Linked DNA regions of Callithrix jacchus. The protein of the gene in region 1 purifies or fractionates together with the protein of each later gene. This does not show direct contact. Links are inferred from orthologs where the notes say so. Each region holds a gene or a part of one and is shown on either strand. Other genes may lie near its edges.

Evidence for each region.
Region 2: the proteins of CUL7 (region 1) and LGALS3BP purify together in Homo sapiens (affinity purification with mass spectrometry; 3 studies listed by BioGRID and IntAct, with this or other methods). This does not show direct contact. The link is inferred for Callithrix jacchus from reciprocal best matches to the Homo sapiens genes CUL7 and LGALS3BP.

What each region holds. Positions count from the first base shown.
Region 1 is NC_133505.1:51,530,656-51,534,909, reverse strand, and holds the start of CUL7 (cullin-7), read left to right. Parts: upstream 1-1,406; 5' UTR 1,407-1,410; coding exon 1,411-1,561; exon of another isoform or gene 1,562-1,650; intron 1,651-2,445; coding exon 2,446-3,123; intron 3,124-3,446; coding exon 3,447-3,598; intron 3,599-3,740; coding exon 3,741-4,241; intron 4,242-4,254. Other genes in the region: MRPL2 (large ribosomal subunit protein uL2m), read left to right, coding at 822-1,034. UniProt on the Homo sapiens protein: Core component of the 3M and Cul7-RING(FBXW8) complexes, which mediate the ubiquitination and subsequent proteasomal degradation of target proteins. Core component of the 3M complex, a complex required to regulate microtubule dynamics and genome integrity.
Region 2 is NC_133506.1:134,725,326-134,729,712, reverse strand, and holds the start of LGALS3BP (galectin-3-binding protein), read left to right. Parts: upstream 1-1,416; 5' UTR 1,417-1,517; intron 1,518-2,940; exon of another isoform or gene 2,941-2,943; 5' UTR 2,944-2,948; coding exon 2,949-3,018; intron 3,019-3,957; coding exon 3,958-4,149; intron 4,150-4,387.

The DNA.
Region 1 (4,254 bases):
TCTCAAATTGCCAACCTCAGGTGATCCACCCACCTCGGCCTCTCAAAGTGCTGGGATTATAGGCATGAGCCACCGCGCCTGGCCAATTTTTGTATTTTTAGTAGAGATGGGGTTTCATCGTGTTGGCCAGGCTGGTCTCAAACTCCTGACCTTAATCTGCTCACCTCAGCCTCCCAAAGTGCTAGGATTACAGGGCTGAGCCACCATGCCCAACCCTAATTAATTTTTTTGAGACCGGGTTTCTATTGCTTGAGTGCGATGGCACAATCATAGCTCACTGCAGCCTCAAACTCCTGGGTTCAAGCAGTCCTTCTGCCTCAGCCCCCCAAGTAGCTGGGACTACAGGCACATGCCACTACATCCAGCTAATTTTCATATTTTTTATAGAGATAGGGTTTTACCATGTTGGCCAGGCTGGTCTTGAACTCCTGGCTCAAGCGATCTGCCCTCCTAGGCCTCCCAAAGTGCTGGGATTACAGGTGTGAGCCACTGCACCTGGCCCCGGCTAATAGTTTTTATTTTGTAGAGATGGGGTTTCACTATAGTGCCTGGGCTGGTCTCAAACTGGGCTCAAGTTACCCTCCAGCCTCGGCCTTCCAAAGTGCTGGGATTACTGGCGTGAGTCAGTGCACCCGGCTCTTCGATTTCAACTACCTTGTTCCTCCTGTAGGACCTTCACTTAGCTTCACCCGTCTTGTGCTTTTTCTTTCTCCTCTCCCTTCTCTCATTGAGTCTAAGACGCCCCCCAAGGGTTGTGCTCTAAACATTGTCAAATCTTGCCCCCACATCGTACATTCTTCTCCATCTGTTTTCTCTGTCAGGTGCTGGAAACGTGCATAGCAACAGTAGGTCGAGTATCCAACGTTGATCATAACAAACGGGTTATTGGCAAGGCAGGGCGCAACCGTTGGCTGGGCAAGAGGCCTAACAGTGGGCGATGGCACCGCAAGGGGGGCTGGGCTGGCCGAAAGATTCGGCCACTACCCCCCATGAAGAGTTATGTGAAGCTGCCTTCTGCTGCTGCCCAAAGCTGATATCCCTGTACTCTAATAAAATGCCCCACCTCCTGTTTTTATCTGTTACTGTTTTTTGCGGGGGAGGGGATGGTACAGACAGAATGTGGGGAGAAGCAGTAAAAAGTGTCGGAAGATAAAGACAGGACACTGTGGGTCTGCCCCCACCCCAGTTCCCTTACAGGTAATGGAGCCCGAGGATGGAAATTAGTGACGTCCAAGGCCTTTTCCAGTTCTGACTTTGGGAAACGGGGAGGGCACTTCCGGCAGGAGGGAGGACAAAAAGGAAGAGGAAAGGGCGGCGCAGGGAAGGAGGTGCTGCGTCGCCAAGGTGGCACCCGCAGCTCCGCCCCAGCGCTCTCCCAGGGCCCCTAGCTTTCCGCTGGGTCTGGCGGAAATGAGCCGTGGCTTTTGGCAGGCGGAGTCACTGGCAGGGACCAGGCCCCACCCTGCCCCAGTGGCTGCCGACCCACGCGGGCGCTGCTGTTCTGTTCCGCAGAGGCACACCCCCTCAGATCTCTCCGTCTGGATCCCCTCGCGGGGCCCAGGTGGGACCCAATTCGTCGTCAGCGTCTGTGCCGCGTCCCTTGCTCTGTGAAGGACAGGCCTCGCGTCAGGACCCCGGTGGACTTCTGAGGTGGCCAGAGCCCCGCTGCGGCCCCTTGCTCCTCCCCTGACCACTTGCCCGTGGATCCTCGCGCTCACTTGACCTCGGCCCCGCATCCCACCGTGTCTCGGGGTTCTAGTTTATGGGAGTTAGCCCCTCTCCCCCACCTTATAGCGCGCGTTCCAGGCTTCTCGGGTCTCCAACCTCGGTCCCCCAAGCCTCGCGCCCCTCCCCTGCCTGTTCTCCTGTGCACCCTGCCCTGGGTCTCACAGCGCCCCCACCAGCCCTCTTGCTCCGGTTGCTCCAGTCAGAGGTGCCTCCAGCCCATCGCGCCTTGCCCTCAACCACCATTTCTCGGGTCTCTTAACTCTGCGACTCACACTCCCATGTTCCAATCGTAGAGACAGCACCCTTTTCCACACACACACTCGCGATCTCCTTCCCAGCCCCCCATAAATCTACCCCTCTGGGCTTCACATGCCCCCAGGGTTGCTGCCTGTCCCAAAGTCTTGGAATTCACTTGTAAACTCCAAGGCTGCCCTGCCCCCACTGTCTGCCCACTATTCCAAACCCACCCACTCCAGGCTGCAGGGTTTTGGGGACCTTCCTTTTAGCCCCCAAATTTTGTGTTCTTTCACAACACAACCCCCGTGTTCTCTGCTTAGGCCTGCCCCCATCCAGCGTGCAGCATGCAACTCCTGGGCCTGGCTTTACCCCACCCTGCCCGACAGCTGTTGCCATTTGCTTCCCTAACTCCTGGATGTCTGATTTTTCTGACCTCTCCTTACTCTAGCTTGTCTGTTCTCTCTTCCTTGTGTGCTCCAGGTGCCAGGATGGTGGGGGAACTCCGCTACAGGGAATTCAGGGTGCCCCTGGGGCCTGGCTTACATGCCTATCCTGATGAGCTGATCCGCCAGCGAGTGGGCCATGATGGGCATCCTGAGTACCAGATCCGCTGGCTCATCCTGCGGCGTGGCGATGATGGGGACGGGGTCGCTGGCCAAGTGGACTGCAAGGCTGAACATATCCTGCTGTGGATGTCTAAGGATGAGATATATGCCAACTGCCACAAGATGCTGGGCGAGGATGGCCAGGTCATCAGGCCCTCCCAGTCTGCAGGGGAGGTTGGGGCCCTGGACAAATCTGTACTGGAGGAGATGGAAACTGATGTGAAGTCCCTCATTCAGAGAGCCCTTCGGCAGCTGGAGGAGTGTGTGGGCACCATCCCTCCTGCTCCTCTACTTCACACTGTCCACGTGCTCAGCGCCTATGCCAGCATCGAGCCCCTCACTGGGGTGTTCAAGGACCCAAGGGTCCTGGACTTGCTCATGCACATGTTGAGTAGTCCCGATTATCAGATTCGCTGGAGCGCAGGCCGGATGATACAAGCCCTGTCCTCCCATGATGCTGGTGAGGGGCAGTGTGGGGAGGAAGGGAAAGCAGAAGGGCTGGGTCGGCTCAGGGACTCACAGGACACTGTGGCAGGAGCCTCTAATCTCATCAGTACGTAAATGATTCTGTTGCCCTTCTCTTAGAGTTGGAAGAAAAGGAGGTGGGAATGGGGGTGAGGGCGGGGGGTATCTGCCAAAAGAGGAAACCCTATCTTCAAAAATCTCATGTTAATTAGTTACTTTTTATGCAAAGGAAGAATTTAGACTATTGCAGATTGTGTGTGTGTATATAAGTTAGCAAATTTTAACTTTTGAAGCAAATCAATGATTTCCCACTGTGTGGTGGCAAAAGGATTGGATTGAAAGAGTAGACGGTCCAAGATTTTAGGAAGGGTGAGGTTGGGGAGAAGTTACCGATTGGGGTGTGGGTTACAGGGACCCGGACTCAGATCCTTCTGTCACTGAGCCAACAAGAAGCCATTGAGAAACACCTGGATTTTGATAGCCGCTGTGCTCTGCTAGCACTGTTTGCACAGGCCACGCTCTCTGAACATCCCATGTCTTTCGAGGGCATTCAGCTACCACAGGTAACCTTTGGGGTGTAAGGTGGGGGGAGCTTGTGAACCAGATCTAGGGACTGAGTCTTTGCACCTGTCTACAGAGGATGGTGTGGAGAGAGGGGCTTAAAATGGGACAAGATGGATGTAGACCAAAGATTGTATCCCACAGGTCCCAGGAAGGGTGCTCTTCTCCCTGGTGAAGCGGTATTTGCATGTCACCTCACTTCTGGATCAGCTGAACGACAGTGCTGTGGAGGCAGGAACCCAGAACACCTCTGCTCCTGAGGAGTTGAGTGGGGAGAGGGGTCAACTGGAGCTGGAGTTCAGTATGGCCATGGGCACCCTGATCTCAGAGCTGGTGCAAGCCATGCGCTGGAACCAGGCCTCAGACAAACCAAGGAGCTCTGCACGGTTCCCTGGTTCCATCTTCCAGCCTCAGCTGACAGCTGTGAGCCCAGGGCTCCCCACCGCCCAGGCTCAGCCCTCCTTCAGGAGATCAAGACGGTTTCGCCCTCGTTCTGAGTTTGCAAGTGGCAATACCTATGCCTTGTATGTGCGGGACACACTGCAGCCAGGGATGCGAGTACGGATGCTGGATGATTATGAGGAGATCAGCGCTGGGGACGAGGGCGAGTTCCGGCAGAGCAACAGCGGCGTGCCTCCTGTGCAGGTGAGTGGCACAC
Region 2 (4,387 bases), on another chromosome or scaffold:
GGGGTTTTCAAACTCCCCACAGCCTTCTCTGCCAGTTCTGTTTCCAGCTGCATCTGCCCCTGGATCTCCACAGTTCCTCTGGAGGGATCAGGCGAACCGCGCAGCTGCCTAAAACCTCACATTTTGAGGGAAACAGTCATTCAGTGTCTGTCCTCTGGGCCCGTGTCTCAGACTCTAAGCTGCCAGGGAACCAGGGATTTCCACGCGTTGGGACTGCCTGGGGGCTTTTAAAATGCCCCTGCCTGTCCCCCACTCCCAGAGATGGTGACTTCCTGGGCCTGGGCATTAGGAGTTTGTAAGACTCCCTGATGATTCTTCTGTCCAAGCCAGGCTGAGAACCACTGGTCAGAGAGACCTGGGCACATCCCAAGGCTCAACCCAGAACCATGGGTTGCAAGTGAAGAAATGAGAGGCTGCTGATTGCCTCACTGAGCGGTGAAGCCTGGGCTTGACCACAGATTAGGCCAGCTGGACCCAGGGGTGCAGGTGGGAGCATCTCTGCTTCTCTCTGCTCTGCCCCATGGGCCCCAGCAGCCTGGGCCCACATCCTCTCACTCGGAAGCCAGCTCTCACTGGGCTGGCTGGGCTCACAGCTCCACCCTGGAACCATCCATGTGGCCTGGAGGGCCCCTCAGGGCTCAGACAGCCAGACCTGGGGTGGTTGAAGGCCAAGAGCCGGGTGCCCTCTGGGAACCACACAGCCAGGAGTGGGAAGGGGTGCTCAGAGTAGGGAAAAGGAATGGGTATGAGTGGACAGAACCATTATGTCACCCCAGAGAGGCTCTGTCCCCCGCCCCGCTGAGGGGGAGACAGGAGAGCAGCCACAGGTCCAGCAGTGTGAACACAGGGTCTAGGGTCAGGTGCTGGAGCGGGGTCCAGCTCCTCCACTGGCCAGCTGCACACCTGGCTCTCAGGGCCTCCCTCCCCTGGGACAGGGGACAGTACCGCGCAGCGTTGCAGGGAACAGGCCCTCTGTGTGGTGAGCATGCCAAGAGCTCGGAGAGGGTGGATTTGCACATGAGCAACCACCTGTGCAGTGTCCACCCAGCCAGCAATGTGCTGGACCCAGGAAAGGACTCAGAGCGCTCTGTCACCCACAGGAACAAACTGTCTGGGCCCACAGCCTCTGCTTCTTCCCCTCCTGTCCCCCAAACGCCAGCCCCTGGCCGGCCTGGAGGCGTTTCCAACTGACTGTGGCTGTCAGTCTTCTTTCGGGCCTTGCTCCAGCCAGACTCCCGCCTTGGGCCTCTGCCATCCCGGCACTGACACCCACATGCAGAGCTGAGACAAAAGAGAGGGGCCCCCGGGAGTGTCGTCAGCAGCCAATCCCAGAAGGCATCTATGTCAGATGGTTTCTGGAAATCGAAACTTGACTGTTTCCTGAAGCATTTCCTGGGATCAGCCTGACCACGCTCCATACTGGGAGAGGCTTCTGGGTCGAAGGACCAGTCTGCAGAGGGCTCCTGGAGCTGGAAGCAAGGAGGCTCCAGCACAGCCATCACAGCCGCTCCAGCCAGGTAAGCTCCTGCCTCCAGCTCTCAGGTGGGCACCCCCGCCTCTCTCTCTTTTTTTTTTTTTTGAGACAGGGTCTCACTTTTTTACCCAGGTTGGAATGCAGTGGGGCGATCTCAGCTCACTGCAGCCTCTGTCTCCCAGGTTCAAGAGATTCTCCTGCCTCAGCCTCCCGAGTAGCTGGAATTATAGATGCCTGCCACCATGCCTGGCTAAATTTTGTATTTTTAGTAGACACAGGGTTTCACTATGTTGGCCAGGCTGGTCTTGAACCCCTGACCTTATGATCTGCCCGCCTCGACCTCCCAAAGTGCTGGGATTACAAGTGTGAGCCACCGTGCCCAGCCAGGGCACCCCTCTCTCTACACAGGCAAATGGGGGTCACTCCTCCCTGTTTGCACATAGGCCTGGAGCTATCCTTGCTGCTCCCAGGCCCATCTCTGTACAGTTGGGCAGATTGCTTACTACACAAGGATACCAGCCAAAGGGGCAAGTGGGCTGGAAATCAGCTTGGCCCTCTCAGGTCTGTGCATTGAGCCTAGGCCTGCACCCACCCCAACGAAGGGTACCTTTTTTTCAATTCACATGAAGGCACCCTAGGGGTCAACACAGATAGCCGGTCTCAACTTTCCATATGAAAGAATCAGGGAAATATACCCAGCCACTGCCACCCAAAGGGCAGCAATGGTGCCTGCCTGGTGCTTCATTGTCCACTTTTTTTTTTTTTTGAGACAGAGTCTTGCTCTGTCACCCAAGCTGGAGTACAGTGGTATGATCTCAGGTCACTGCAACCTCTGCCTTCTAGGTTTAAGCGATTCTCTTGCCTCAGCCTCCTGAGTAGCTGGGACTACAGGTTCACACCACCGTGCCCAGCTATTTTTTTTTTTTTTTTTTTTTGGTATTTTTATTAGAGATGGGGTTTTACCATGTTGGCCAGGCTGGTCTCGAACTCCTGACCTGAAATGATCCACCCACCTCAGCCTCCCAGAGTGCTGGGATTACAGCATGAGCCATCGCACCTGGCCAGTTGGCCATTTTTCCAAGGCCCTCGCCCATGGCCTCCTCCCGCTCCACCCTCCCCCATGCCTGTGCGGCAGCCTTGCCCGGCACCTGGTTTTCTGAGATGGGCTCACTCACTTCCAGTCACCAATTCTTGCTGTCCTTACTGCCAGGGGCCACCCCCAGCCCACCCCTTCATCTAGCCAAGTCTAACACATCTTTCCAGGACCATGCTGCAGACCAGGTGAGGAGCCCCTGTGGGGGCAACCACAGCGTCCATCACACTTACCAAGACCACAGTGGGCTCTGCAGGAGAGGTACCCTGCCTGCCACACAGCCCAGGTCGGGCTGAAGGGTGGATGGGCAGGCCAGTCCCCCGGCATCGGGCCACCGGGCTCCGGTGCCTCACTCCACCGCTTCCATCCACAGCAGGATCCATGCGTCCAGGCAAGGCCATGGTCCCTCTGAGGCTCTTCTGGATGTGGCTGCTGGTTGCAGGGACCCAAGGTGAGCTGAGTCCCTGGGAAATGCCAAAAGCAAAAGTCTGTGAGGCTGCTGCACCCTGGGTCTGTGCACAATGCCCAAAAGAGGTTGTGCCTGGGGTCTGAGGCCCGGTGGTTAGCCGAATCTTCTCTCTTCCGGTATCCTGAGTGATCATGGCTTGGAGGTTCCAGGGGCTCACCTGGGCTCAGGTGAGCTGCAGGTTATAGAGAGGACACCAGGGAATTCTCCATTCCATCCAGAGGGAACCAGAGGAGCTGATCAAAGCAGCAGTCACGGGGTGTTGTGGGGTCCATGGCCTTGGATGCAGGTCAAGCTTCCAGAGGGTCCTGGCTGCCTTTCCTCATATTCTTTACCCTGTGAGCCCCTGGAGACTCATGCTCATCCTGGGGGCCCCACAGAAGCCAGACGTGCCCCCAACTGAATTCAGCTCCTACCAGGCTCTGCCAGCTCCTGTAGGGGCGAATGTCAGTGGGCAGAGTCCCAGAAGGTCATGTGTGGGGTAGGAATCCCATTCTCTGCCCTGGAAGTATTCTGCCTGTGCTCCCAGGGGTCCCTAGGCCTGCTGTCCCCACTAGGCCAGCACCCGCAAACTGCAGACACCCTCAGGAGGGGTTAGCATGGAGCCGCCTTTCCCTCGGGGTCCTGCCACCTCCACTCCCAGTGCTGGAGAACCCAGGGCTTCTCTGCCCCGTTCTGTCTATGGAGTGAAGGGCTGAGACCCCTAAAACAAGGAACGGCATGTTTAGCCTCCATGTAGGGGGTCTGTATGTATCTTCCACTCCCCCTCACAGAGGTGCCCCTCACGGAGAGGCAGGGGGACCTTGAAGCACTGGAAAACAAGCTCAGCAGGGGAGTCCCAGGACAGCGTGGGGGCCCTAGAGGTTGGCGCGTGGGGGGGGCGCTGCAGGCTCCAGCCTCACCCTTGTTGGTCTCTCCCTGCAGCCGTGAACGATGGTGACATGCGGCTGGCTGATGGGGCCACTGCCAATGAGGGTCGTGTGGAGATCTTCTACAGAGGCCAGTGGGGCACTGTGTGTGACAGCCTGTGGGATCTGACTGATGCCAGCGTCGTCTGCCGGGCCCTGGGCTTTGAGAACGCCACGCAGGCTCTGGGCAGAGCTGCCTTTGGGCAAGGTAGGACCTGCTGTCCCTGTCCTCTGGGGCTGAGACCCACAGCATAGCCAGCTCCTGGGAGGGGTGAATCCCCTAAGACAAGACAACCAGGCTTCAAAGACATGCAAACTGTATTCCTATTAATTTAGCAAGAGCAAAAAGTTTTTTTTTTTGAGATGGAGTCTCACTCTGTCGGCCAGGCTGGAGTACAGCAATGTGATTTCAGCTCACTGCAACCTCGGCCTCCTGAGTTCAAGTG